Notamacropus eugenii: one gene and its partners. The protein of the gene in region 1 purifies or fractionates together with the protein of each later gene. This does not show direct contact. Links are inferred from orthologs where the notes say so. Each region holds a gene or a part of one and is shown on either strand. Other genes may lie near its edges. The genes, in order: ABI1, EPS8L1, WASF1 and NHSL3.

The links.
Region 2: the proteins of ABI1 (region 1) and EPS8L1 purify together in Homo sapiens (co-immunoprecipitation; 4 studies listed by BioGRID and IntAct, with this or other methods). This does not show direct contact. The link is inferred for Notamacropus eugenii from reciprocal best matches to the Homo sapiens genes ABI1 and EPS8L1.
Region 3: the proteins of ABI1 (region 1) and WASF1 purify together in Homo sapiens (affinity purification with mass spectrometry; 6 studies listed by BioGRID and IntAct, with this or other methods). This does not show direct contact. The link is inferred for Notamacropus eugenii from reciprocal best matches to the Homo sapiens genes ABI1 and WASF1.
Region 4: the proteins of ABI1 (region 1) and NHSL3 purify together in Homo sapiens (affinity purification with mass spectrometry; 3 studies listed by BioGRID and IntAct, with this or other methods). This does not show direct contact. The link is inferred for Notamacropus eugenii from reciprocal best matches to the Homo sapiens genes ABI1 and NHSL3.

Annotation. Positions count from the first base shown.
Region 1 is NC_092874.1:67,587,217-67,595,167, reverse strand, and holds the start of ABI1 (abl interactor 1), read left to right. Parts: upstream 1-4,943; 5' UTR 4,944-5,159; coding exon 5,160-5,276; intron 5,277-6,033; exon of another isoform or gene 6,034-7,951. UniProt on the Homo sapiens protein: May act in negative regulation of cell growth and transformation by interacting with nonreceptor tyrosine kinases ABL1 and/or ABL2. May play a role in regulation of EGF-induced Erk pathway activation. Involved in cytoskeletal reorganization and EGFR signaling.
Region 2 is NC_092876.1:17,749,421-17,757,049, forward strand, and holds the start of EPS8L1 (epidermal growth factor receptor kinase substrate 8-like protein 1), read left to right. Parts: upstream 1-4,624; 5' UTR 4,625-4,762; exon of another isoform or gene 4,763-5,129; 5' UTR 5,130-5,159; coding exon 5,160-5,179; exon of another isoform or gene 5,180-5,370; coding exon 5,371-5,411; exon of another isoform or gene 5,412-5,930; coding exon 5,931-5,989; exon of another isoform or gene 5,990-6,066; coding exon 6,067-6,228; exon of another isoform or gene 6,229-6,487; coding exon 6,488-6,637; exon of another isoform or gene 6,638-6,720; intron 6,721-7,138; coding exon 7,139-7,221; intron 7,222-7,304; coding exon 7,305-7,453; intron 7,454-7,629. Other genes in the region: RDH13 (retinol dehydrogenase 13), read left to right, coding at 1-82, 305-549. UniProt on the Homo sapiens protein: Stimulates guanine exchange activity of SOS1. May play a role in membrane ruffling and remodeling of the actin cytoskeleton.
Region 3 is NC_092873.1:190,083,061-190,090,331, forward strand, and holds the start of WASF1 (actin-binding protein WASF1), read right to left. Parts: upstream 3,004-7,271; 5' UTR 2,389-3,003; intron 1-2,388. Other genes in the region: CDC40 (pre-mRNA-processing factor 17), read left to right, coding at 3,454-3,642.
Region 4 is NC_092876.1:77,118,183-77,125,074, reverse strand, and holds the start of NHSL3 (NHS-like protein 3), read left to right. Parts: upstream 1-3,881; 5' UTR 3,882-3,929; coding exon 3,930-4,020; intron 4,021-4,965; coding exon 4,966-5,214; intron 5,215-6,892. UniProt on the Homo sapiens protein: Able to directly activate the TNF-NFkappaB signaling pathway.

The DNA of each region.
Region 1 (7,951 bases):
CTTTAAATTTTCTCTTCTTCAGGCTAAACAACCCCTGCCTTGGATATGTGCCTACTATGTGCCAGACACTGTGTTAGTGGCTGGGGATACAAATTCCGTGAATTAAACAGGGTAAGAAAATGAGATGTATTGCATTTTAGAAACTGCCTGCTTTCAATGAGTCCAAGTTGCTTCCTGACACAAAAGGTCCACTGTTTTATCATCAGTATTCTCCTGGTAATGCTATAAGGCTGCAAATTATGAAGCATCAGGATTGCAAAATAATCAAAATTGCAGATAACTCAAAGGGAAGTGGAGAAACTATGGATAGTGTAAGAAGCCTGAAACATATATGACCAATGACAGTTATATGCAAAAAATGTAAAAGATTATATTAAGTTCTCAAATGATATAAACAGTTCCCAAAAGAACTGCAAACCATTAACAATATGAAAGAGTGCTCCAAATCAGTAATAATAAGAGAAATGTAAATTTTTTAAAAACTGAGGTTTCATTTTACACCCAGCACACTGATAAAAGAAACTAAAAAAAGGGGGGGAATTGGAAATAGCCAGTACTGGAGGGTTTGTGGAAAGACAAGAATACTAATACGCCATTGGTTGAGTTGTAATTGGTCCAACCATTCTGGAAAGCAATTTGGGATTGGGCCAGAGACAGAGACAGAGAAAAAGAGAGAGAGAGAGACAGACAGACAGACAGACAGAAGGACAGAGAGAGACAGAGAAAGAGACAGAGAGACAGAGGGAGAATAAAGTTTCCATAACTTTTTGCCCTAGAGATCGCACTGATAGGTATATTTTCCAAGGAGATCAAGTTAATAAATCAATAAACGTGAGGTCCAATATACACAAAAATATTTCTAGCATTGCTCTTTATAGCAGTAAATAACTGGAAACATAGAGGATGCTCATTGATTGGGGAATGACTAACCAAACTGTGGAACATCAACATTATGGAATATTACAGGTACCATAAGAAATGATGAATATGACAAACCCTGGGAGACTTATTGAGGCAGAGTGAAGTCAGCAGTACCAGGAAAACAATGCACAGGATGACGACATAATTGTAAAGGACAGTACCCTCTGCTCCCCCTCCCCCTCCCTCTTCACCCAGAAATGGAATGCTGCATCAGTATAATGCCTATGCTTGGGAATGAAGAGATGTTATGCCAAGATATTATGCCTTCCTTCCTTCTTTGTAGTTTTGCCAAACTGCTTCCCCCCTTTTTTCCTCATCTTTGTTATGAGGGATGGTTATGAGGGATGGGGCAGCTAGCTGGCAAAGTGCATAAAGAGCTGGGCCTGGACTCAGAAAGATTCATCTTCCTGAGTTCAAGTTTGGTCTCAGACATTTACTGGTTGTGTGATACTGGGCAAGTAACTTAACCCTGTTTGCCTCCATTTTCTCATCTGTAGAATGAGCTCGAAAAGGAAATGACAAAGAACTATAGTATCTTTGCCAAGAAAATTCCAAATTGGGTCATGAAGAGTCAGAAACTACTAACTAGAAAGCTACTAACAAGGAAAGGTTTTTCAGTGGTGTAGGAAGGAGGGATATTTGAGAAATGATGGTGATATAAAAACCAAAGATATCAAAGCAAATTAAAAAAAAAAGACATTGTGAAGCATACATACGATTAGAAAAGGAAGTGTGCCAGTCACACAGCAAGTGCAAGGGATGACTTCACAAGGAGTCCCATTTCATTTTTAAGGCAGGTCATACTTAGACAGTTCTGATATCTGTCAGAAAATTAGACTTGTTAAAACAGCTCCTGTGTTCTACAGGTAGGCCCAAAAGATTAAAATTACTAGAAAAGGCATTCAGTACTTTGGGTAGATTCTGAATACATTCACTGAAAGACATGAACAATAATTGAGGGCCATCTCCAGTCATTCTGATCCAAATCTTACAACTGGACCCAGAGGAGAATGTGACTCAGGAGGAGAAAGGCTGGTGACTTTGCACAGTCCTTCCTCACTTAAATCTAATTTACCTGCAAGTCATGGCATCATCTTCCTGATGTCATGTTCATCTCCAAGAATGAAGGACAAACCTGAATAATAATCACATTGGACAAGAAGATGCGGATGACCTGGGATCTGTATCCATGGAGAAAATATCCACAGAAATGAGATAACAGAGCCTTTGAAGTACCTAAGGGGGTGTTCAGAGAAAAGAAGGGTGACAGTCCTGCTGTATTCTTCCGTAGTAAGGCCACATTTAGAGAACTGGATTCAATTATGCCTGGAGGAACATGACTAAGAGCTGAAAACCATGCCAGATAAGAAATAGTGGAAGGAACTGTGAATTTTTAGCTTGTTGAAGAGAATACATACATATACATGCATAAGGATATATGTATACAGAATACATTACAGGGCTATTAAATGGAAGGCAAAATCTGCAACAGTTATAAGGGTGGAACTAGGCCAGATGGTTGAAATTATAAGAGAAGCAGATTTTAGCACAATAGGAGTAAGAAGTTCCTAGCAATTAGAAACGGAATAGGGTTCCTTGTAAAGTAGTGAGCTCCCTCGCACTGTAAATAATAATAACGAATAATTATAGCTAACATTTATATGCTACTTTCTGTATGCCACATGCCCCACAAATGTTTAAGCAGAGGACTGATGGACTTTATCAAAAAGTGTTCAAGAGATATTGGAATATGATCCTCTGTCAGGAATGCCAAGAAAGGGACTCTTGAATTGAGTAAAAGGCTAGACTAGAGAACTGCTAACGTCTCTTCCAGTTCTAAAGATTCTATGATATTATGCTTTACTAATAACATGTATGTGCTATTGCAGAGTCTCAGGTGCTTACTGGCTAAGTGACCCTGGACTAGTCATTTAACTTCTGTCTGCCTCTGTTTCCTCATTTATAAGAGGGGGCTAATAAGAGCACCTACCTCTTGAGTTTATCGTGAGGACGAAATGAGATAAAAATGTTAAGTGCTCTTCATCCCTTTAAGTGCTATAACAAGGCTAGTTATTTATTATTATTGCCATATGTTTTAAAGATTCTGGCATATAGTTAGCTCAGTTTGTTAGAATATGGTTCTACAATTATGAGTTTTACAGCATATAAGCTTTTAAATTTGAAATATAGAAAAACTATGCTCCACAGCTTCAGGCTTTAAACTCCTCCCCCTTTCCCCCAGGAGGGACTATTAATAAAAAATTCATTCAAAGTGTATCTCTTAAAGTAGAATCAGTAAAGGCCTGATGATTATCTACCTTACTATTTTAGTTCTGATTCTGATTTGAAATCTTCTATTCTGTTGCAATATAAGTCATATTAAAAATTATTTTGTTGGCTGCTGATTTGGAGTTTGGAAAATAATGTCACCATAATTACAGATTGCATACTGTAGTACATCATATTTTTTACATATTGCAAGTGTAGGTAGCATTGAACAGTGGAAGGAGTGCATTAAGAATCTGAAAACTGGGTTCTATTTTTGTTTTTGCCTTTTAATGTGCTGACTTGGATAAATCACTTAGCTTCTAATTGACTGACTCATTTCTCCGAGTCTCAGTTTCTTCATTTCGAAAATAGGGATTATAAAGCCTGTTATGCATACTTTAGAGAGCTGCTATGCAGATTAAAAGAGATATAAGTGAAAATGGTAAAGCCCTGTAGACAAACGCAAAATTTTTCTTAATTGCTGTTGTAAAAAAAATTATGTTGTTGAAATTCAACATTATATTTAAATACTTTTTTTTTTTTGTTGCTATACAGTTCTATTCAGGCAACTCTCAGAAGATGTCAACTAGCACTGACAGAAGGAGTTTCTTCACAAGGGCTATACTAGTGAAATCGGGGCAGCTAGGTGGTGCAGTGGATAGAGCACCAGTGCAGGAGTCAGGAGGACCTGAGTTCAAATGGCACCTCAGACACTTGACACTTACTAGCCGTGTGACCTTGGGCAAGTCACTTAAGCTCTCTCTGCTGCCTCACCCAACAGGAATAATGCCCCTCAGGCTTGTCATAAGGATAAAAAAATGGTATTTTTTACCATTTACCAAAAATGGTATTTTTTGCCAGCTTTCAAGCTAGCTATCACTAATACCAGTTAAAAATGAGAAGATTTCTCTCAAACGCAGGGAGCAGTGCGACCCTTGCGACAAAGGGGAATGGAGAAGGCTCCCCCGGGAGAAGCCTGAATAGTTTAGGGTACCGCCCCCCCCACCCCGCGTGGAGCTCAGGAGGTGCAGGCCAATTAGCCACTTCCCCGATTCGAGCGACGTCGCGCGGGCACGGGTGGGTGCCTAACGGAGGCTTGTGGACTTGGCCATCCCCGGCATTCCGGGGGCCGGAATTAAACGGGAGTTCCGACTAGTCTCAGATGAGTTTGATGCCATTGCATTTGGGGCAGCCAGCACGTGGCCCGCGCCCCGATCCAGGACGGAGGAAGGGACCCGTGCCGGCTGAGGGAGGGAGGAGGGGGTGTGCATTTATGAAGCGCCCACTGCGTGCCAGGCACGGGGGGATGTCCGGAGGCAACGTGCGGAAGGGGAGGCGGGCGCGGCCGGTGTGGGAGGCCTGGGGGGCAGGGCGGGCCACCTTTCACCGAGGCCACAGGAAGGGCACGGTTAAGGTCAAGGCACACCCATCCCCGTCTCCCGGCTCGGATTTTTCCAGTAGCTGACAAACACCTGGTGGTTACTAGTAAGCCAGGCTCTCTCCCTCTCAGGTGCCACCTGCTGGCAGGCAGGAGGGCAGACCTCTCGGCTGGCTCGGCACATAATGCCACCATGCTACTTCCACACTTCCCTTCCCTCTCTCCCGCCGGTAGCTCGCGCGCTTGCGCAGTTGCCATCCCGGGAAAGTCCCCCGGGGTGGGGTGGTGGGGAGAGAAGACTACAACTCCCAGAGGGCAATGCAAAAGGGGAAAACCCAATCTCTCTGTTCAGAAGCTGCGGGGGTTGCGGGGGGAAGGGGAGCTGAAAGCTCGCGCATCGCGAGAACGAGACCGCAGCGGGTGGGGGTGAGGAGGAGGAAGAGGAGGAGGTGATGTCCCACAATACCAGGCGGGAGGGCGGGTAGGCGGCTTGTATCCGGGCTCAGAGGCTTGGACTCCCGGACTTCACCGCGCCGCTGCCGCCGCTCGCTGTCTCTTGGACGTGAGAGGAAGCGATGCGGAGGAGTGGAAAATGGCAGAGCTGCAGATGCTGCTAGAGGAAGAGATCCCGTCCGGCAAGAGGGCGCTGATCGAGAGTTACCAGAACCTGACCCGGGTGGCGGACTACTGTGAGAACAACTACATACAGGTGAGGCGGGGGGAGGGGAGGGTCAGGAGCGGCCCCCGCCCGGGGCCGGGCCCCCGCCCCGGGGAGAGGCACCGCCGCCCGCCCGCCGCCCCCGGCCGGGGCTCCGCCACAGGAAGTGGGCTGGGGTGGGAAGAGAAGGGGGAGAGCGAGAAAATGGGCGAGCGCCCGGAGGGGACCCGCTGCCGCCGCCTCGCCCTGCGCCCGCCCGCCGGCCGGGCTGCCCCGCTGACACCCCTGGCGCGCCCGGGCTCCCGCTGCGGCCGCTGGGGCCGCGGCGACCACCGCCACCCGCGCCCGATGAGCCTCGGCCGGAGGGAGCCGGCTACGGAGCGGGGAAACTGAGGCAGCGCGGCCAAGAGCCGGGCGGGGGGCGGGCGGGGAGCGTCTGTGTGTGTGTGATTGAGTATATATGTGTATGTGCTTGTATGTGTGTGTGTTATTGTGTGTTTGTGGTTGTGGGTATATATGTGTATGTGCTTGTGTGTGTGTGATTGTAAGTATATACGTGTGTGCTTGTAAGTGTGTGATTGTATGTATCTGAGTGATTTGGAGTGTTTGGGTGTATGATTGTGTGTATGTATATGTGAGCGCGACTCCATGTATGTGTGACCATGGGTGAGATTATGTATGTGCACTCATGTTTGTGTGACTGTTACGTGTGTGCTTGTAGGTATATGTGTGTTCTGGAGTGTGTGTGAGTGTGACTGTCGGGGAGAGAGGGTGGGGTAAGCGCGGGGGGAGGGAGGGGGGTGGATTATGTCAGCTAGCCCCAGAGGGTGTGCCTTGTATTCTATTTTATTTATTTGTCCTGAGTCACCTCGCTGGGGAGAAGGGCCCTTTGGGGGAGGGCTCTGGAGAGGAAGAAAGTGAATGGACCCCCTGACCCCCGGGCTTGGCCGCGGACTCGCGGGTTTCCAGACCGGTCCCCCCACCCCCCATCCACAGTTTCACTTCCGCTCTTGGGCTTTGGCTTCTCGTGCGGGAGGGTGATTAGAGCGATCGGGTAGAATTATTCGTCTTGAATTATTTTTAACTACTGGAGAGCTGCCTTGAGTGACCGCCCTTCTCCCTTATCCGTCAAAAATTTAAAAAAAGTTCTTAAAACTCCCGCATTTATCTATAACTTAGAACCTCTTCTTTCTGTTGGGTTCCCAGTTTTCTGACCACAGTTTTCTTTTACTTCTAATTGAGATAGATGGTTAGGATGATTAAAAATTGTTTCCAAGGCAGAAAACTACACACACATAAACATATTTGCATTCAAATGTATGTATGTGGAAATATACACAAATATATCTATCTACCCACATACCGATATTCCTACATATATTCATACGTATACCACACTTGCAGGGTGCCCCAAAAGTCAGAACTGTACTAAGACATTTGGTATAGCCTTTCTAATGATGTAAAAGTCGTGTAATATAAAATCATGAAACCTTGAGAATGTCTAGAGAATTTTTATTTCCTGAATTGAGTTTAGATGGAAATGCCTTTCTCACAACTCAGCTGTAAATGTTTAGGGTGTGGAAATAATGGACAAACTGTAATGGGCACTTAATATTGGATAGTCATGGCAGATAAGGGCTTTTGAAAGTTCTGGTTACTTCAATAATAAGGAGGCATAGAGACAATTTTTGGAAATAGCTCTTTTTTTGTAGCTATCTTGCCAATGCTTGCATTTCCTCCACTTTATTTCTCCTTAAAAGTAAAGAAAATGAATGGTTGCTTTTGTGAATATTTAGAATCTTTCTTAATTTTCATGTTCACTTCAACTACCTGCTAAGCATTGTGCTAATACCATAACTGTAGAAAAAAATGATTGACTCTTATTCTTATCCACTGATAATATAGATTTTTAAAAAAGTTAGTTTTGCAGACCAAGAAATAATTTTGTAGTTCACCAAAATGAAAGGCACATACTGAACTGAAGTTCCAAAGTCAAGCTTTGAAAATTCAGGTGAAAATTGGAAGGATCTTACAAGTCAAAACGTAAAATACCTTATCGGAATCTTCTAAAAGCCTACTTTCAACGGCTGTTGATAGATCCTTCAAAACAGGGAGGTTCCATTTGATTTTATATGTTGGGAAATACAACAGGTACTTGGTGTGGTAACATGTTTTAACCTGTCCAATTTTTTTCTTTGTCAGTGTAGTTGTTTTTTGTTTTTCTATTGCAAAACTTGGAAGCGGTTTAAACTCTACCAGGAATCTCTTCTATTAACATAAATTGCCTCATGTTACTTACTCTCCCTAGTAAAACCAGAATGCTAAGAATCCTGTTAGTGACTCTCAAAACTTTTTTCATTTTATCAGTTGAATACACAGACACACACACACACACACACACACACACACACACACACATTTTACCCTCAAACTAAAAAAGATAGGAAAATATTTTTGAAATAATGACAGGTACATATAACAATGATTGTCAGAATATATAGTCCTTTACCTTTCAAGCTTTGCTTGTGCCAGGTGCCTTGCCCTCCAAAGTAGGTAGAAAGTGAATGTGGTATTGGTGGAAGGTATCACCACTGCTGTTCTTGTCATTGCTATGGCTGCTTGAGATTCTTATTCATGTTCTTTCATGCATTTATCCTAAAGGTTGGAGAAGACTTTTTTTAAGCCTTTTTTATGACATTTCTGTGACCCATGGTACTTTCTGGTGC
Region 2 (7,629 bases), on another chromosome or scaffold:
TCCCTGCACCCCGGGGTAGCCAGCACTGAGCTGGGCAGACACACAGGCTTGCACAAGTCCGTCTTTTCCAGCACAGTCCTTGGTAAGTCCCTCTTCCTCAGCAGTTTGGAGGAGGCACCGGAACTCTCCCAGACCTGACTGGGGAAGCCCATCTGGATCATCAGCTTGCTTAGCCCCTTATGGGGGGTGGGGCTTAATCAAGTGTCTTCCCCTATCAGAGCTTCAGTTTCCCCACCTACCAGACTAGGCACATCATTCGATGCCTCTCTGACTCTGTATCTATCCCTCTGTGTCCTGACCCCAGGCCCCTTCTTCTGGTTGCTGATAAAGACGCCCAAGTTGGCAGCCCAACCTAGTGTCTACCTGGCTGTGGCTCCGGAGCTGAGTGGGGTCTCGGGCAAGTATTTTAATGCCTTCCATGAGCGGGACCCAGCTCCCCAGGCCCAGGATGAGGAGGCTGCTCAGAAGCTTTGGGCGCACAGCACTCAGCTCGTGGGGCTGGATGAGGCTGAGACTCTGAAGGCAGGATCATCTATGAAAATCACTTAACACGTGGAGCTCATGACTCCCCTCAGGACACCTGGCCTGTTCCACACCTCTCAGGGAGTCCCCTGAGATTCCTCCTGCCTCTGACACTCTGCAGGCCCAGGTTTGGCTGGGCCCAGACTACCCTGTCCCCTTCCTCATCTGAACAGCAGGAATTGGATCAGCTGTGCTCTCCAAAGGCTCAACCCCTCAGGCAATCAGTCTAAAGGTGAAGGCCAGGGACCCCTCATCAGAATCATGAGGGCTTGACACACAAAGGAATCATCCTACCAGAGTACAGATAGCCATACATTGCTTAGACAAGTTCACAAATCCTGACTTAGGTGCCCCCAAGCCTTCTGAGTTTCTGTTCTCATTTAATGTCGCTTAGAAGAGGAGACCTCTGTACCCCCTCCAGCTTGGACCCTATGGGCTGACGGGGCCAGGGGAGCCCCTGCGTGAAGGATTTCTAATTCATCATGGAAGGAAATGCTTGATTTCAGTTAAGAGTTAGTGAAAATAAATATCCAGGTTTTTCCCCCCAAGATCAATGACTCCCTGAAATCCATCTGTGGACCTCCAGATTAAGGCCCCTTGGTCTAGACTTTGAAAAAGCCTTGGACTAGGAAGATGGGAAACCAAAGCATGCAGTGGAAGCCTGGAGAAATGCACCCCTCTGGCCAGTGGTCATGTTTGTTCCCCAGACATAAGGCAGAGGCCAGGTGAGGGGGGGTTGGCTGTTTATTTAAGGATGGATTGAGAGGGGATGACCCTGGAAGTTAGGCAGCCACCATTGGCCTAAACGAAACTCAGCCCATTAGGTCATTAGACTCAGCTCCTCAGTCCTGGAGGTGGGCACCGGGAGGCCAGGACACTTCCACCATCTTGCCTGTTGGTCCATGCAGGGCCTGTTGGCCAGCTTGGGGATCTGCCGGGATTTCCTCCTGGCCCAGCAGTCTATAGCACATTCAGCCCACTCTCCTAGGCATTTCCTCCCTCAAATATGCCTGAATCAACAGTGCTGTGGCCCAGCCCCTCCCCACCACATGCCCCAACCCTCCATGTGCAGTGACTTGTCGCCGAGGTCAGATGGCACCTTTGGAGGCATCTTGGGCGATGAGTTTCCAGAGTTGGCCTTTCTCTCCTGTGTGGGCAAGCAGGGTGCCTTGGGGAGAGGGCTGGGGATCTGGATTGCCCCCTCCCACTTCCACTTGTCTTCCCTTCTCTGGGCCTTGGGGTCCTTGTCTGTCAAATGAAAGGAGCTTACATCCTCCAGAAAGCAGCCAGTCAGGCCCTCTCTGGCCCATAAATAAGATCCTTCCCCTAGCCAGCCCCTCCCACTGGACTTCTGCCCCCTCCCCCAGCCAGCCCTCTTTGCCCAGGCTCTTTCAGCTTCAGCCCAAACCCCCCCAACCCCCAAACAGCTCTCATCTGTAGGAGGCCCTCCCTTGGCCCATGTTCTGACAGTCGCAGGGACACCCCACTTATCAGATGGGCAGATGGAACAGACCTGGGCAGGATGACAGGCAGACATGCTTGCTATAAATCAGGAGCCAAAAGGATCTCCACACATTGAAACCATGACCTGGATCCCCTGAGCTCAGGGATCCCAAGTCTGGAGCTAGAAGACCTTGGGAAAGTCAGGTGGGCAGAGAAGAGGGGAAAGAAAACACCCTAAGCTGAGGCTTTAACCATGGCCAGAAGGGGAGTGCGGGAGAGGGATAGGTCAATGGCGGCTGTCTGAAAAAGATCTGTTGGGCACAATGGACCACAAGCCCACCAAGAGTTGATAGTACTATGAGGGCAAAGAATAGGACAGCTGTCTGGCCTGGTGTTCAGGGCACCTGCCCAGAGGGTCAGGCCCTGGGGCAGCCCAAGGCCCCCAGGTCCAACTTCATTTTACAAAATGGGAAATTGAGGTCCAGAGAGGAGAGGCTTAATGGCACATTTCTGGTTAGGACTTGGGAGACTCAGCTGGAAAGGCCCCTTCAGACACTGCCTCACATACCCTCACCTCATGGTGGGGGAAACTGAGGCTTATTGTGAGAACTCCAAGGAGGATGCCCTCCAAAGTACCCCTCTGGAGTCAGATGGAGTGGAACTGAGCATGCAAACCCTGGGTGTGGATCTTCACTGGCAATGACTTCCCTCTCTGGGCCCCTGTTTCCTTATTTGTAAAGTAAAGGCACTGGGCAAGATGCTGTGTGCCAGGCACTGGGGAGAGATGATAATGGCAGCACCTACTGTGTACCAGGCACTGGGGAGAGAAGATAACGGCAGCGCCTACTGTGTGCCAGGCACTGAGCTATTTTACAGTTTATCTCATTGGATCCTCATGGCAGCCCTGGGATGGGTTAGTATTCTCATTTTAGGAAGTGTCTAAGGCTGGATTTGAACTCAGGCCTTCCTGCCTCCAGACATGATCCACCAGCTGACTTAAGAAGACTGGGAGTGGGAGGATAGAGGGTGTGTGGGGGAGGGGGCCAGCAGGAGAGGAACTTGAGCCATATCCTCCACCTTGACTGCCTCAGTCCCCAGCCCCTGCCCTTCCGCCCTTTGTCCACGTACCGGCCAAACTGGCTGCCACCCTGGGCCTCCCCTCCCTGTGAACAAACAGGGCCAACTTTGGCATTCCCTGCTCACAGCCTCTCCCCAGCTGGCCAGGCCGGTTCCTCTTATCTCCACCCAGCTTCCAGCCTTCCCCTGCCCCCATTCCCGGGCTCAGGCTAACCAGGGGACCCAGGCTCCCACTGGGCTGGAGAAGGGAGGGGTCTCCAGCACCAAGCTCAGCCTGGGCTGCCCCTCCCTCCAAAGACCTTCCAGCTGAGGCAGCCCCTCCCACTTGGGGCAGCTGTCTTTGTTATGTGTGTGTGTGTGGAGGGGGGGGTCCTGCATCTGACACCTGCTCCAGCCTGGGCGCCTCTCAGACCCAGAGAAGCAAATGCATGTGCCGTGGGAGCTTGAGGGGGAGAGGGCCCCTGAGTCGAAGAACCGAGGTGGGGCAACCCCGCCAGAGGACCAGGAGCAACGAGGGAGCCACAGAGAGTGCTTGAGCAGTGGAGTTACCTGGTCAGAGCAGGGCTTTGGGCTTCAACAAAAGGAGAGAAACTGGGGAGTCTGGAGGGGGCGGAGCAAGCTGTAGACTCCCCGTGCTTAGCGCAGTGCCTGGCACGTAGTAGTGAGCACCTCATAAACACTTGCTTTACAGAGCCTTGAACACAAAATCTCTGCTTCTCACTTTGGCTTTGCATTATTTTCAGCCAACCTGGCCCACTAGCTGTTTCCCAAGTACATGCTATTGGCCACCTCTGGGCCTTTGCCTGGGCTGTGACCCCTACTTGGAATGCCATCCCTCCACACTTCTTCATCTTAGGCTCAGGTCACCTCCTACCCATCCCTGTGCCCCCTCCCCGGGGCACTCGACTGCTTGAACTCACCTAATATTCTGTTCCTTCATGAATATTGTCCCTTATGCTTTTCTGCCCTCCTGGAGGATGGCAGCCCCTTGAAGGTATGTGGGAACCCAGGTCAGGCCCACACATCGAAGGCCCCTACCCCATGTTGACTGAGTTCTTGAGCAGGGAGATTTACCCAAGGACCCACAGCATGGAAGGGGCAGACCTAGCAGTGTTCAAGTTTCTTGATTTGAGGGAGAAGCAACCTCAGAAGTACCTGCTCCTCTCTGAACCTCAGTTCCCCCTCTGTAAAATAATCCTGACTCCCATTTCCTCAGCACTTGAAGGCTCACAAACTAATCTTCTCACCCAGCCCTGTGAGGGGTGGGGTTCATCAGAAGGAGGGAGCAGGTGAGATTTAATGATCTCCAAGCATCCTCCAGTCGAAGCCCCGGAGTCGGAGGTGGTATAGGCGGTATTAGCGGCTCAGAGATCTGGTCTCTCTCCCAGACCTAGGTTTTTCCGTCTTAGGTGTACCTGGGCGTGTAAGGAGGGAGGAGAGCAAGGGAGGAGGAGGAAGCAGGGACTGAGGGAGGGAGGGAGAGAGGGCTCAGTTTCGGTCACACCCAAAGCCAACCACAGGCTCAGGGCCCCTGGAGTGCCCTCCCTTCCACTGTTCCCGGGCACCTGAACCACTTGGTCTTTTCCTTCCAACGACCCAGGCATCCTGATCCCCTGGTCTCCACCTCCCTTAAGGACCCTGGTCCCTGAACTTCAGCTAGCACTGGCTGAACATTTCAGCTCCGCCTCCCAGGACCACACCCCACCAAGTGAAGGCTTAGGTATGTGGGGGGAGGTGGGGCACCTGGGTTCTCTCTCCCTCTGGGACCAGGGCCTAAGCCTGCTGTGACCCGGGAGGCTCTGTCTCCCAAACATCTGCCAGGACAGGACATCGTCCGGGTAAGCCCCAAGACAGAGACCCCAGCATCCTGCTCCGTGGCCAACTCTTCAGGAAGCTGGCGTTCAGTCCCCAGACCCAGGCATTCCTCAGCTCCCACCCCCTGAAGGACCTCAGTGTCTTGGACCCCAGGTGCATAGACACCCAGGCATTTCAAAGCCCCAGGGTCGACCAAAGAGCTCCCAAATCCCAGATTCCTTGGGGCTACTTAGGTCCCCGTGTCTCCCACCTCAGGCCTCTCCTCTCCCCAGGCTGGAAGCCCCCACTTCTGAGTTGGCAGCATGATGACCAGCCCAGCAGGGTGAGTGTCTTCTAGAGCCCCGGTCTCCCCCAAGGCTGGGAGCCTCCTGACCCTCCATCCTCCCTTCTTCCTCTCCCCCCTCCATATCCCCTCCCTTCTTCCACTTCTGCCACTCAGCGTTGGGACTCTGGGCCAGGGGAAGAGGGGACCTGAGAGGTTTCACTCGGTGACCCTCTGACCCTCCTCCTCAGGCCCACTGCAGCCCCCAAGCCCAGTGCCAAGTCCATCTATGGTGAGTGAGGGACTGATGTCCCTGGGAGTGCTGGGAGAAGACCCCAACTGACAGCCCAGGTTGGGATGGAGGCTGGGCTAGGGATCTCAGGATTCTTGGGTCCCTGCTGGGTTGTGGGCCAGGGGCCCGGTGCTTGGCCTTGGCCAGTTAAAAAACTGTCCAGAACCTAGCCCACCCCCCAAACACACACACATACCAGGCCGAGGGGAGGGTTCCTGAAGGTAGTGAAGGAGATTGAATGGAAGGCCTGGGTTCAAATCTCAGCCCTGCCCCTTTGGAGGTGGATGGATACCCTCTCCTCTGTGGGCCTCAGTTTCCTTGTCTGTAAAATGGGGAGGGGGCAGAATAGACAGCCTCCATAGTCACTGCCTCAGCTGCAAGTCAGTGGTCCTAAGGTCCCTTCCAGGCCAAGGAGCCTCCTCATTGGCAGTGAAGGAAGGATTCTAAGAAGGGGAATTGGAGCTTAGTGGGAGGAGAGGTGAATTATCTTTTCCTCAGTTTCCCTCTTTCTGGCCCCAGAGCAAAGGAAGAAATACTCCACCGTGATCATGGCAGACGTATCCCAGTACGCAGTCAACGTGAGTCTCGTGGGTCTGAGGGACCGGAATGAGTCAAGAGTCAGTGTCTGGGCCTCACCTGCCTCCCTTTCCCCCAGCACCTGGTGACCTTCTGCTTGGGGGAAGAGGACGGGGTCCACACGGTGGAGGACGCTTCAAGGAAACTGTCTGCTATGGATGCCCAGGGCCGGATCTGGACCCAGGAGATGCTGCTACAAGTGTCCTCGGGAAACGTGAAGCTTCTGGACGTGGACTCCAAGGTCAGGAGAGGAAGGAGGGATTCAGTGTTGGTTCTGGGTCCCAATTCCACTGAGTCCACTCCACCCTGCCGCTCTCTGGCCCTGACTTTCTCCCCATAGAGAAGTTCATGGAGGATCTCAAAGCACTTTTGGTATCAGAGGGGACAGAAGTGGGGAGAAGAAATGCAATGAAACAGACTGGCACCCCCTAAGAGATGCCCCCTCCATGGGGGTCCTGGGTGGGTGGGCAGCCCTGCCTGTGTCCCCTTTCCCCCCACAGGAACAGCTGGAGTCTTACGCCCTGGACTCCATTCTCCGATGTGAGGCCGTGTTCCCCCCAGGCCAGACACAAGCCCTCCTCCTCCTGGTGTGTCAGGAGCCTGACCGGCCCCAGCCCGATGTCCACTACTTCCAGGGCCTCCGAGTTGGGGTAAGGAGGTGCTGGGCCCAGGCTCCCGCTGGCCCATATGATGCAGGAAAGGACTGCTCCCAGAGCTGCTGGACAATAAGAGGCTGGGGGGGGGGGGGGACCAGCAAGGAAGAGGAAGGGAAGGGGAGGCCATGAGGATGCTGGGGGGAGGTGCCCCAGAGGAGGGCCCCCTGACTGGCAGGAGCCCACAGGGTCTTGGTGGGAGTACTAGTAGAAGCTGAGGATGACCAACCCAAAGACGGACGGGACAGAGAAAGGCAGGAGGAGAAAGGGAGGCAGGCATGGAGCCGGGATAAAGTGAGGGAGCCAGTAAGGGAGACTGAGGGGAAAGAGGGGCAGAAAGGAGAGCCCAAACTAGGGCCCCAGCCTCCTCCCCCAGGCCCTCTCTATCCTCCAGTCTCTGGTGAGCTCCTTCATTGTGGCTTTAGAGAGGACAGGTCCTCTGAGGAAAGGACTCAGGGCAGGGGGAGTCACATCTCCCAAATTGTCTCCCCTTGGCAGGCAGAGCTGATCCGAGAGGACATTCATGGGGCCCTACAAGCCCAGCGATCAGGCAGTGGAGACCGGCGTGCAGCCGCCCTAAGGTGGATGGGGAGCAGGATATGGTGGGAGAGGAAAGTGAGTCTGAGCTGGAGGATCCAGCCCCTGTGTTCACCCTGCTCCTCAGGGCCACCCAGGAGGAGCTGAACCGCACCCCCAGCCCTGGGCCTGCAGACACCCCCTTCCGACGTCGGCCTTCAACTCGTGTGGTCATCGCTCCCCGGGAACACCTGCTGGGACCACTGGCCAAGGAAGCCATCCCCGAGGAGAAGGAAGGTGAAAGCCTGGGAAGGGGGGGCATTGAAGGGAAAGGGGAAGAAGCAGCCTTCCTTCCCTCACAGTGCCCCCATCCCGTGTGGGCCTCTTTCTTGGGGAGCCCCCAGTCAGAGACAGGAGACATGGCCCTGCCCACAGGAAACCAGTCTGACCAGGGAAACAGGAGCCACCCAGAG
Region 3 (7,271 bases), on another chromosome or scaffold:
TGCCCCTGAACACAATGACTAATTCCTAAGCTTCAATAATAAACAAAGTTAACTAGTCCACCTTTTAACTGAGAGGTCCTCTTTATAGGTTCTCCCTCACCTGCTAGTTTCTGAAAGGCAGGGGAAAGGTCTTGATATTTTCTGTAGGTTCTTCATTGAACTGAAATAAGGCTTCTATGCATACTTTATCCAGCAGTCTCTAAGCATCCTCTTACATTTAAAGGATTTTAAAATATATATGTTCAACACTAGAATAATCAACTTATTAATTACATGAAAAATATTTTTTCTCATTAGAGTTTTAGCTTTCCAACACAAAGTACAGAATAATTAGTCATTCTGAAAATTAAAGTTTAATTGAATTCTTTCATTCTCTATGCTATTTAAGCACTCTTCATTCTTATTCAACCTAAAATCTTTAAAATGCTTTAAAAATAACAATACCATATTTATGCCCTATAACATCCTTGTGAAACAGGTATTAACCCCATTTTGCACAGGAAATTGAAGCACAGAGAAGTCCATATAAATCTCCCGGACATAAAACTCATAATACCATCTCCTAAAGCAAGCTCCCTAACACCACATTCCCTCAGATAATACAACTATTTATCTTGCTATTGCATATCCTCCCTCTATCATAAAACAGTTACTGCATGTATTTCCAGCATCAATTGACCATGCCTATCTATACTCAACTCAGTTTAATCAAAAGTGTTAATAATAAACTTAATCTCTAGGCACACAAAAAAGCTCAAGACAGGCTGCAAATCAAAGACAAAGTACTTAGTTTTGGTGCCTTTTTTTTAAAAGTCAGAAGTAGAATTGATTATCACAATGATTAGGACATCATCAATGATAATGACTGAAATATGTTTCTTGGACTTTGAAAAAGTATTTCATCTTTTAAGGATGGATATTCTTTAAATGTTCATATTTTTAAGGGCATCTTTAACTGTGAACAGATAGAAAAAAATAAGAAAATTCTATCTAATGAAAGAGAACGGTTAGAACCAAAATAAAATTTTAATTAGTATGAAATATTCAATACAGCATTACAATCCTTTCTTAATCCCCCCTTTCTTTCAAAAGATAGAATTCCAAGGAAGGCTGAAATTATTAGGTACTATGAACATTCAATTACTAAAAATCAAGCAGAAGTGCTGACAATGGAAAATACCAAATTGTCCTTTATAGCAATTTGAGAAATGTACATTGTAGGTGTTTTAATCAAACTACGTTGGAAATCACTCCCACAAAAATACATTCGTGTCTTAATTCAAAGACTGCATTCTCGTTAAAGAATCGCTCTTGTTAAACACCATGCTATGAACCATTAGAAACGTAATATACAAGTACGTTTAAGACAATTTGATGTTTTAAAGAAGCAATTATCAGCGCCAATGAAAACTCATACCATCTCACCAAAGGGAGCATTAAAACACAACTCACAACGCAGATCTTAGGAAACCACTGAATTAAGCTCGATCGCATCAAATACAATGAGTTAATAGGAAGGAATACGTGAGTTGGTTAAAGGACAAGTCGAATTGGTTTGGATCGGCATCGTTTTCCAGCCCTGCTCCGTGAGTAAAGCAGCAAGCGCAAGAGTGGTGAGATTCCTGGAGAGAGGGGGCATACTGTACCGAGCAGGGAGAAGGATACAGAACAGGATATAGACAGGAGCACTTAATTCTTTGTAGCTGAATGATTTGCCTAGGTAGAGCAGTAAGAGAGTTTTCCCAAGAAAGGGAGCTTCTCCCCCTCTTAAGCCTTCGCCAGAACCCCATTTACCGATACGAGGTGACGGAGACTACAGTTAGCAACAGCTAGGGCTACACTACAGCCCCAGCCGCCGCTTCTCCTCCTCCTCCTCAAAGGAAGGGGATGAAAGCAACGAGCGAAGCAGCTGGACACAAACCGGCGCGTACACGTACGTACACACACACACAGGCACACGCACACACAGGCACACATATGCTCGCTTTTTAAGGAGACTCACAGTGAAACGAGGAACGAGGGTTAACGCACGACCCCTAAACGGCAGCCTTCGCCAAAGGCTAGGTGTGACAGCCGGAGAGCACGGTCCGAGCAGAAGCAGCGGCCCGGACACCTCAGGTGGGACCCGCGCCCTCCCCACCTCCCTCCAGCCGCCACCGCTGGGCGCTTCCAGCCACCAGCCACCAGACAGGCACAGGCGCCTAAGCCAGCTCGTTCCAGCAGCCAGCTGCGCAGGGGTGGGCGGCGTGGGGGAGAGGAACCCGAACGAATGAGGGAGAGCTACCAGGGATAGGCAGCCGGGTGGGGGGAGGGCGCCACAACACGGAGCCATCCCGTTTTTCCGGGGGCGTAGAAGGATAGGCAACACAAAAACACACACTCACTCACCGTAAAACGGGGAGGGGGAGGCTCTTGTCTTACACCTCCTTCATGCCGGGTGATGCTGCTTCCCACTCCTTCTGCAGCCGATTCCTCCGCAGGCCCTGGGAAGGGGCTCGGGGTGGGGGTGGGGGGTAGCCCCTTGGATTCCTGTTCCAAGCGACCCCTGTTCCAAGTGCCCCGGCCCACCCCCTCCCTTCACTTAACCTGCAACAGCCCTAGCTCCGGCTCTTTCAGGACTAGCCCGGTGCAAAAAGCACGAGCGAACAACACTGCGAGCCTCCACCCTCCCCCCACCCCGCCCCCTAACTAGAGCGCGCGGAGCTCCACAAATGGGAGAGAGAAAGGGGAGCGTGAAATAGGGGGGCTAACAGCGCTCCCTCTCCTTCCCCACTCCAAGTTTCTTTCCCTAACCTCCCACTAGACCGGTTATCCCCCGGTGGGGGCTCGAGTGAAACGACCCTCCATTTCCTCCTCGGGCTCCAGTACCCAGGTGTATGCTTTGAGGATGCTGGAAACCCAGCCCCCAACACACCCCAAATGGCATGAAAACCGTGCTTCCCCACCCCCTTTTCCAGAGACTGCGTGGTATAACCCGATCCTCGGTTTGGGGGAGGGGGCCAGAAAGAACTGAGGATGGGCTAGGGAATAAGGTAAGGCAACAGCCAATTGAATGAAACCAGTCACTGAGGGGCGGTGTCAAAAATTCCTCCAGAAAGACTACATCTCCCATGGTGCTTTGTTCATTAAACGCCGCGTGGGGAATCGGTATTTAGTTCGCTTGTCGGAACTCGTAGTCTTTTAATTAAACCGGTAAGGTCCTGGAAGGTATCAAAAAAACTGAGGTTTCCCTTACCCCTTCCCCTTTTGCCCATTAAGTGATTAAATTCAAGACTCTCGTCTTTTATAAATAGATCAAAGGTTAAATAATCACTGATATAAAACTCCTGGAACTAGTTCAAATTCGGGATTTGAGGAGGTTCCAGGGCGACCAAAGGTTTTTAGGACCTTTCCGATCGCGGCTCTTTCTTCCGCCAAGGCCTGAGCTACCCGGGGAGAGTCGGCGCTGCAGTCATGTCGGCTGCTATCGCTGCCCTGGCAGCTTCCTACGGCTCGGGCTCGGGGTCCGAGTCCGACTCGGACAACGAGACCGGCCGCTGTTCCCTGCCCGCCGCCGACTCCCTCATCCATCTGACGAAGACGCCTTCGGCCAATCTCTCTCTGGTGGGGACCGTGGACGCTGCGCCGGAGGTGGCGGTTAAGGTGAGCAGTTCTCGCCTCTGAGGGGCTAGTTGGGGTGAGGGGTCGGGGAGGGGGGCGGAAATTGTCGGCTCGGCCCGGGGTCCGCTGGGGCGGAGGGTGGGAGGGGCGGCTCCGGGGAACTCGGTAGGGCGAGGGCCGCCTTCCTTTTCGAGTGGGAGCTCGCTGAGGGCAGGGATCGCGCTCTTCGCCTTGGCCGCTGCGCCCGGCACTTAGCCCCGGGCCTAGGTCGGAGGAAGCGCTTTTTCTGGGCTGGTTGGTTGAGCTGCGTGTGCTGATTGACAGTCTGCCTGCTGCTCCGACTGTCGAGAGCGGGGCTGCTGGTCATGGATGCCCGGAGACTTGGTAGCAGTCTTCCAGCGAGGCTCTGGCGATCTGCTCCAGCCCTGCCCCCCCAAGGCGTTTTTCTAAAGCTCAGGTCTCACCTGTCTCTAGGAGCAAAGGCGAACTTCGCTCTTTAAAGCCCTTCGTGTCCTGGCCCCAGCCCCCTTTTACGTAGTTTTTTTGGTGAAGTCTGTTCTCCTTTTCCATCTTCCTACCTCTTTTTCCTCCCCCTCTCTTCCTCCTTACCCGCCCTTTCCCTCCTTCACCTATCTCTCTTCTTCCTCCCCGACTCCCCCCCCCTCCCGCCCTCCCTTGAAACCTGGCAAGATACCTTGGGGTTGACGGGCTAGATTTCCTTTATGGAGCAGGCCTTAAACCTCTGCCTCTCACTGGTTGGCCAACAATGGGACCTCACTGGGTCCTTGTTTGGATTCTGATGGCTGTGAGTGAGTGTAAAAATAGCAGTTGTTTCTGTTTTGTCCAGAAATCCTTAGGGTCTTTCCCTCCCAGGTTGAATTTTTTTTTCTTTTTTATTTGACTAAGTAAAAGAGGTCCTTCTTTGCCTCGTTTTTCACCTAGCCTTAATCACTGAATGGGCTTTGCCTCAGATAAACCTGAGACCTGGGAAAGACCTTAGCTTAAAAAGGCCAAGGTCTCCCACTGCATCAGGGCCTTCTGCAGTCGCGTTGATCTATATCTGGCCACTGGACCCAGATGGTTCTGGAGGAAAGAGTGAGACTGGTGACTTTGCACCTGCCTCACCTAAATCCGATTCACTTGCAAGTCATGACATCTCCTTCCTGATGTCATGGTCCTCTTGGAGAACAAAGGACAAACAACAACCTGTGTGTAGTAGGAACTGCTCCACTGAAGACCCAGTTGGCCAGTTCCATTTGGCAGCTGCCGCTCCCTTTTTTTCCTCCCTTCCTCTCTTTCTCTCTTTTGCCCTCTTTCTCTCTCCCTTTCTCCCTCCCTTCTCTGCCTCCCTCTTCTCCCTTTGTCCACGTAGGAAATCATACCCTTACCTGTGAGTCCTCTGCCCAAAAGAATATAAACTTTAATCTCTGAAACCTAGCAAGATACCTTGGGATTTACGGGCTCGATTCTTTTTTGTGGATCATACCTTAAACCCAAATCACTCTGGCTCTCATTGATTTTCTAACATATCAATATGGGACAATAGGTCCCAGCCCAAGCTTCCTCACTTCGTGGGAGTATATAGCTCAGCCAGATATATGTACATCATGTTTACAAGTCAGGTGTTCATAACTTGAGGCACATTATGCTGTTTTGCCTTGTGTAACACATCTGAATTCTCTGTTTCATTTACAAGGAAATGGGAAAGAGAATAGCTTAATTGTATATTAATATGTATTTTATAACATTTTAGAAAAAGGTTATTAACCCGGAGCATAATTTTAAAAAATATTTTGATAGCTGTTTCAACATAATCTGTTTCCTTTGTAATCATAGGTATTTCATTTTATGTATTTAAAAATCAGTCACTAAACATTGATCAAGCGCCTGCCGTGTGCCAGGCACATTATCCTAAGCAGGATTCCACAGGCTTTGGTGGATTTCCTAAAGGTTAGACGTTCCTATTTTAGACGTAGAATTCTAGAATTTAAAATGATTTTTTGTTTTATTGATAACAAAAGTGAGGCCCAGGGAGTTTATATAGCTTGTAGGTGAAAATGCTGGAACTATATATAATTTAGGTCTCAGCTTCTAGTTAATACCCCTTTTACTATATAAAACACTGCTTCTCTTTCTCCATCATGAAGCAAGGGTTTAAGAGTGTGTGTGTGTGTGTGTGTGTGTGTGTGTGTGTGTGTGTGTGTGTTTAAGTTAGGTGGTAGAGTGGATAAACTAAACCTCAAATATCATTCTAGCTTTATCTTTATGACTCTGTGCAAATCATTTAGCCTTTCTCAGTTTCCTCATCTGTAAATGGTAGTTGGGAGAATAAAATGAGATGGTATTTACAAAGCACTTTGTGCACCTTAAACTGCTGTTTAAATAAACTACTATTAGCAAATGTTAATCTCAGAATGATGTTTTTAAATGCATAAAACATGTAGCATTACAAAAGAAACGAATTATATTGAAGTAAAGGTGTATTTTTTTTTCCCCATTCAAGTTCATGGACCCCCTGAAGTCTGTCTATGGATCTCAGGTTAAGAATCCCTGTCATGTCTGTATAGAGTTGGCAAGTAGTAGTGTTCAGAAACTACTTTTAAAAAGTATGGTTAGGAATAAGATCAGGGGTGAAGCAAGGATGTCCATTATCACCACTATTATTCAACATGGTACTAGAAATATTAGCTGTAGCAATAAGAAAAGAAAAAGAAATTGAAGGAATTAGAATAGGCAAAGAAGAAACTCTCTTTGCAGATGATATGATGATATACTTAGAGAATCCCAGAGAATCAAGTAAAAAACTACTTGAAATAATAAACAACTTTGGCAGAGTTGCAGGTTACAAAATAAACCCACATAAATCTTCTGCATTTCTATATGTTACTAACAAAGCCCAACAGCAAGAGATAGAAAGAGAAATCTCATTTAAAGCTAGGGTAGACACTATAAAATGTTTGGGAGTCTACCTGCCAAAACAAACCCAGGGACTATATGAATACAATTACAAAACACTTTTTGCACAAATAAAGGCAGATCTAAATAAGTGGAAAAACATCAGTTGCTCGTGGGTAGGCCGAGCCAATGTCATAAAATGACAATTCTACCTAAATTAATTTACTTATTCAGAGCCATACCAATCAAACTGTCAGATAATTATTTTCTAGAGCTATAAAAAATAATATCAGAATTCATCTAGAAGAACAAAAGATCCAGAATATCAAGGGAACTAATGAAAAGAAATCCTAGAGAAGGTGGCCTAGTCCTACCAGATCTCAAATTGTATTATAAAGCAACAATTATCAAAACCACTTGGTACTGGCTAAGAAACAGAGGAGTAGACCAGTGCAATAGGTTAGGTACTCAAGACACAGTAGCCAATGAATATAGCAATCTACTGTTTGATAAATCCAAGGACTTCAGCTTCTGGGATAAGAACTCACTGTTTGACAAAAATTGCTAGGAAAACTGGATAACAATATGGTGGAAACTGGGCATAGACCAATGCCTGACACCATACACAAGAGTAAAGTCCAAATGGGTACATGATCTAGGTATAAAGATGGATACTATAAACAAATTAGTGGAGCAGGGAATAGTGTATTTATCAGATTTATGGAGAATGGAAAATTTTTTGACTAAATGAGATAGAAAACATTATGAAATGCAAA
Region 4 (6,892 bases), on another chromosome or scaffold:
GAGTGTGGGGGAAGGGAAACAGGGAGGATATTGTGTAAGGAACACAGAGAAATATGTTTGCTCAGGAAGGGCTTTTGAAGCTCTTTGCCCATGCCCATTCAACCATTTAAGCCCTTGCTGTGTGCCAGACCCTTTAGCATTATGGGGGAAACTAAGAAGACAAAGGCTTAACTCTTGTCCTCAAGGAGCACTTAGTCTAGCTGGGGACGGGAGATCTCAGAGACACAGATGAACTGAATATAAATTAGCACTTGAAAAAGACAAGAGAAGAGTGTAAAGTGCTATGAGATCAGAACTGGGTGAGGTGGCTCCCCAAAAGAGCTGGAAGGAATCCTGAGCCAGATGTGTATACATTTGTGTTTGTTCATGAGTGGGCGCTACATGTTTGTGGAGGGCTTGGGGGATGAGGTGAGAAGGTTAGTCCAGCTGGAGAGATCCTGGTGGGCAGTTGTTGCCCTGAAATGAAGTAAGGTTAAAATGAAATCACAGGTCTGAAAAATGAGGAAGGGGGTGATTATTGTTCACATAAGGGGAGATGTGAAGTATAATGGAAAGATTCCTTAGGATCATGTAGGCCTGTATTCTTTTTTGGGTTTTGACACCTAATTAGCTATGTGGCCTTGGGGCCAATTCACCACCTATCTGTGCCTCATTTTGTCTAACTGAAAATGAAGGGGTTGGACCAGATCTTTCCTAAAGATTTCTTCTAGCTCTAACATTCTATAAGTCTGCTCTAGAACATTGGGGATTAGGATTTGAAACTGGGATCTGGGATCTGAAGGAAGGGCTCTGGAACATGGGGGAGAAGACAATTATGGTTAGTAGTGGGAGGTAACTCCAGAATGTGGGGGGCGGGTATTGGATAACCTGCCCTAGAATAGGTACAGTAGGGGAAGGGGAGGAGATGATGGGGAGAGAACAATCACTGTTCTGGAAGTTGCGGGGATGTATGGGAAAAGTGCCAGACTTGGACATTTCTAGTTTCTCTGTTACTAGAAAAATCTCATCAAGAAAATGAGCATTTATGCCGTACTTATATGGCAGACACTGTGTTAAGGTACAAATAAAAGCAAAAAGAGACAGCTCCTGCCTTCAAGGAGATTACTTTCTAAAGGGAGAAGACTTCACACCCAAAGAGGTGAATTCATTATCCTTTCCAGAGAAGATGCTGCAGTTAGGGAGGAGTAGAACAGGGGCCAGGGACTGGGGCTGTACTTGTCTGATGGGGGTAAAGGATGGTGACAGACATGGAACCAGCCGATCATGGCAGACAAATGAAGGTTGGAGTCTGTGGCTTTGGGCCCCCCCATTCTTCCCTGTTCCTTGGGCCTGGAATAATGGCAACCACTGGCTAAACCAGTGCCTTATGGGAGTGGGGGTGAGAGGGGTTACCCAGGCTGTATCAGACTTCGTGTACATACCTGGGCCTAGAGAAGAGAGCCTCCCTAGAGGGCCCCCCATCCCAGCACAAAGCCATCTCAGCTGCTTTGATCACATGCTGAGTAAACCCCATGCGAAAGAGCATTGTACCCCTTGGGGGTGGGGTGTGGAGGTTGGAAATGCTGCCATCACCCGCATAGTATCTTGGCTTCAGTGGATGCCCAAGCTCTCTGATCACAGAAGGATGAGAATCCTAGTTTATCCCTGGACAAATTGTCTCACTCTGTGAAGACACAGAGGGATCCCACTTTATAGAACAGCTCCTGAAAAGTTTTTGAATCCCGACCTCAGAGGTCATCTAATCCAAAACCTCCCGGAATTCCCACCATCCCTTCCATAGTGTCCTCAGTCACCCAGTCTCTGCTCATGCTCATTCAGTTCAGTACAAGGATGAGAGTGCTGAGGACCTGGGTTCCAGTCTTCTGTCCTGTTCCTTGGGTGACCTTGGGCAAGGATTCAGCTTTCTTATCTATAAAATGTAGGCGTTGGGCTAGGTGAGCTCTAAGGTCTCTTCCGGTCAGCTCTGCATGCTGTAATGACTGATCCCTGTGGCAGCCTGTTCCACCCTGGTACAGTCCTTTGGTTTCCCCTTTTTTTGTGTGTTAGATTTATTTTTGTCAATGGAAAGACTGAAAAATGAGCTGTTTGTCAATCAGTGGATTTGTGCTGAGTGCCTCCTTTGTGCCCAGTCCCATCCTGGGGCTGGAGGAAGGGATCAAGCCTCTGCCCCTGTCAAGTTTTTCTCTTTAGGGAATTTCTTCAAGCTCACCCTGACACACCAACAGACACAGGAAAAGTGAAGGATGAGGATTGAAACTGGAGAGGAGAAAAGTGTCTATGTCATTGGAGTTTTCATATGGTGGGTTTGTCTCAAATGGGGTCAATGAGTATTTATTAATGAAGTGCCTTTTGCTGGGGATACAAAAGAGGCAGAAGATAGTTCCTGTCCTCAAGAACTTATACTCTAATGGAGTAAAGGTCTTTAGGCAACACTGTGGGCCTCCTTTTCCCTGGCGTTTTCTTATCTTCTAGGTTCCCACCCTGACTAGATGGTATTTAAGGTTAGGTGATTCTTTCCACAGGGATCTACAAGCATCTTAGACCAGTTGTCTTTTATTTTTTTTAATTGTAAAAATTTTTTATTTTTTAAATTAATTTTTAATCAATTAACAGTCCTTTTTTCTTGAGATAGATTGACGAGTATATTTTTCCTCTGAGCTGTTGACACTTTCTTCCTCCCCACTCCATTTCCTAGCTCTCTAGCTCCCTGTTCACATATGGAAACTGAGGCATTACTTCCTTCTAGGGCCTTCATTGAGGTGCCATAGGATCACAGGAATTTAGAACTGGAAAGAATCTTTGAGATCATTTAGCCCATCTGCCATTTTACAGATGGGGAAACTGAGGCCCATAGAGGGGAAGGAACTTGCCCAAAGTCAAGAGTAGTAATTATTAGAACCTTGGATTTCTGACTCCAGATCTATTGGGGAGTCAGGGGAGGGTGCTGAGAGAAGCTTTGAAGGTAGGTGAATCTGGAGACAGTCTGTGGGTAGAGAACCTGGCTCCTTGAAGTCAGTCAAATTAACATAGTAAATGGAAAGAATGTTAGTCTTAGTCAGAAGACCCATGGTTGAATCCCAGCTCTTTTCCATAACACCACTAGACTTTAGGCATGATAGTACTGCATCTTTCCAGGTCTCTCAGTATTTCTCTCTGTAAAATGTGGTCAGACTTGTTTGCTGATCATAGAAACAGAGAATGTTAGAGCTGATAAGAGGCCTTAGAGATTATATAACTTGACACTCTCACTTATATATGGGAAAACTGAGCCTGTACAGAGGAACTGACTTGCTCCAGTTATCAGGTAGTAATAATAAAACAAGTTTTAGTTTCCATTTTTGTATCACTTATGGCTTCTATGGTGCCTTCTTCATTAAAACCATGGTGCAGTGGAAGGAAGGCTGAGATTTAAAGTCAGAGGACTTGAGTTCAAATCCCAACTTGTTCCACTTACTACTTGTAAGGTGGCTTTCAGCACTAGATCTGACTCTGAATTCCTGTGAAGAAAGGAGTGCACGTTATCCCCATTTTGCAAATGAGAAAACCAAGGATCTGCATCCTGTCTATGTCTCATTTTCCCAACCCGGTAGGAGGGTGCTAATTCCTGGGCTCTGCCTGGCAGGGGCCGTCGGCCGCCTCCTCTTCCCAGGAGCCTCCAGGCTTGCCTAGCTTTGGGAGGGCCAGAGGTAGGCGTCCCAGTGGGGGCGGGGGAGAGCCCGCATACGGGAGCTCGCCCCGCCCCTCGCCTCCCCTCCGAGGCCCCGCCCCTCCCGGGCGTGCCCATTGGCTGCAGGGACGGTGGCGGCCGGAGCTGCCGGAGCGCGCGGGGGCCTGAGCGCGCGCCAGCCCCACGCCATGTAGCGCGCGCCCCCTCCCCCGCCCACTCCCATCCCTGTCCCCGCCCCCGCCCCCCAGGGACCCTGCGCGCCATGGGGAACTCCCACCATAAGAGGAAGCCCCCCAGCAGCCGGACCCGCAGCTTCTGGCATTTTGGGCGCCGCCGGGGGAGGCAGGGAACAGGTAGGCAGGGGCGGGGGCGCTGAGGGGAGGGGGATGGGAAGGGGCCGGGGCTGCCCCGCGCGGCCCGAGCCCGGGGGGATGGTGGGGGCCGCGCGTCCGGGGACTTGGGGTCCCCCACCCTACCCCCGGCTGTGTACACGGGGACCCAGCTGCATGCTCACACATGGAGCCTCCCGCATGCACACGGCTGCACGCAAAGGGCACATATGAACGCGCCTGTATGGTACATCCTCAGCACATAGCCTTTGAGAAAGTTAGCCAAACAAGGCAGTGATACATGCTTGCGCAGGAGTGTGCATATGGACACATAGTTACACAGTGTGCCTTAATGCTCCAGGAATATCCGTCCACACATGGCTACAGTTACAGAAACAGGACAGGGATACACGTTCCCATGCATGTGTGCACAACGACACATAGTTATAAATCACACTCAGCCACACCATGAGTTACACCTACAGGACCCAGGACGCACTTATTTTTATGTCTTGTGGAATTGGGTCTATTTCCAGCTGGGCACATAGTTGTGGAAGATTTGTATATATGTTCACATGTATGGGTACATAGTTACACATGGCGTATAGATGTATATATGTATATGCATGCTTGTACATGAATATGTATGAACGGACGTAGTTATTACACAGATGTCCACAGTCACTCCTGCTATGGTTATACAGCTGCCCACATAGATTTGCAGATGTGGGTGCAGACTCATATTTACCTAGGCATACAGTTCTCTTCAGCAAACGTTAATTACCCGCTGTGTGCAGAGCATGGGTTCACACTTACATGTACTCACAATTACACCTATCAGCACAGCTAATAGTCACACAGACTCACATTGTCATATACAGATGCCGTGTTGTATACAGACACAGCCTTTCACTGTTTTACACAGTAGCTGATATACACTCACATTTGTTCTTCTGTCCCACCCTGCAGACCCCAGAGGGCAGAAGGTTGACTGGAGGAAGGGAGAGACAAAAGGAGGGAGCTGGAGACAGAAACTGAAGGCTGGAGGCCCAGGGCTGGCTCCATCTGACCACATCAGCCATCTGACTGGTTCTCTGGGGCACCCTCCCCCCCACTGCCAAGGGTCTAGGCCCCTCCCTCATCTATCCCCCCCTTTTCAATTCAGTCACCCAGCTGGAACAGCCTGGGCCCCAGTCTGTGCTGGGATCTGCCTGAAAGGTTGTATTTCAGCCCCAGGGGTGGGGGAGGGTCCTCTGAGGCTGGGCAACAGGATTCCTGGCTTCCCCCTCCAGTTCCCTCAGTGCTGGGAGAACTGTAACATGAACTGGGATTGATATGTGTGTGTGTGTGTGTGTGTGTGTGTGGTGGGGGGGGAGAGGATATCAGAGAGATAGATAGGGGGAGGAGGTACAGCCTCACCCTCTGCTCACATCCCCTCCCACTGGGGAGCTGCCTGGTCAGGTGGAAATCTGGGCTATTTCCTGTGCAGAGAACCCTATGGGGAGAATTGTGGGTCAGGGAGCAGGGGAAACTGTTGCCCATTTCCCCATGTCCTTTGGATTCATAAACTATCTAAATTCAGACTCTCTGAAGTTGAAAGGCTCTTTGAAACTATCACATCCCTAACCCCTTCTGCTTACAGATATGGAAACTGAGGCCTACAACTGGAAAGGAACTTACACAAGGTTGTTTGTTCCAGTCTGGGTACAGGATATGTAGTTTTCTGTACTTTCCTTGGAGAGAGAATAGGTACCTCCTAGAGGTTTGTGATCTGATTTGTGATCCTGGGCAAGTCCCTTTTCCTTTCTGAGCCTCAGTTTTGGCATCTGTAAAATGAAGAGGGCATTGAACTAGATGGTTTCTAAGGTAAAAACTAACATTTCCCCGAGGGAAAGCCTTTATCCAGGGAAGCCTGGGGGAAGAGGATCCTGGGATTCTGGTCACTTCTGCCCAACATCCCTACTATATCCTATTCACCCTCCTAATTGAGAAATCAAGTCAATTCCCTATCCTTCTCTTTTCCTCTCCTTCTGCATTCAGGCAGGGAAGGGAAATACAGCTTGGAGAAATGACTCTCCTTCCTTGTGTTTGTTTATAATCTTACTAACCTGGATGGGATAAGTGTTTAGAGATCTTAGTGCTGATGAACTTTTGTGTTTTCCCTGGAGGTGGCTGGAGGGTATCAGAGAAGAAAACATAGTCTTTATCTTCAAGTTACTGACAGGTTAGTTGAAGACACAAGACAGATAGGGTTGGAGAGATCACATTTCTAGACAACATATTAAGATGATATGAATAAGTGGACCTTCTTTCTACTCTCCAGACCTTAGCTAGACATGTGTGAGAAGGAATTCAGAAACGTTAATGAAGGAAGGCTTCATAGCAATGAATCTGAAGTGGGCATTGAGGGAATTGTAGGTCTTCATTTCTCATAGAACAGCATGCATGTACCACTGCAAAGAGGGTGGATTTGGAGCAAGATGTTGGAAAGCTGCTTTCAGTGCTCACCACCAGACTTACCCCTGGCAATTTTTTCTTACTTGGAACATCAATTTCCTCATCTGCTAAGAAAGGGGTTTGGAATACATGGTCCCCAAAGTCCTTTGAGCTCTAAGTTCCATTATCCTTTGGGAAAACCAGGAGAGGGCATTCTAGGTAAGAGGAGAAGCCTAAATAAAGGCACAGAAGTGGGAAGGAGCCTAGTATGATGCGGGGAGGGGAGGACAAAGAAATAAACCCGGTTGGAGCTGAGGATGCTTTTGAAGGAGGAGGGAATTAAGTGGGGTCTTAAGGGATGACCAAAGATGCAGGTACCATCACAAGATTTAGAGTTAGAAGAAGGTCATTCAGTTCATCTCCAAGAGGAAATCACATCCAACTTCATCAGCCTCTGTTT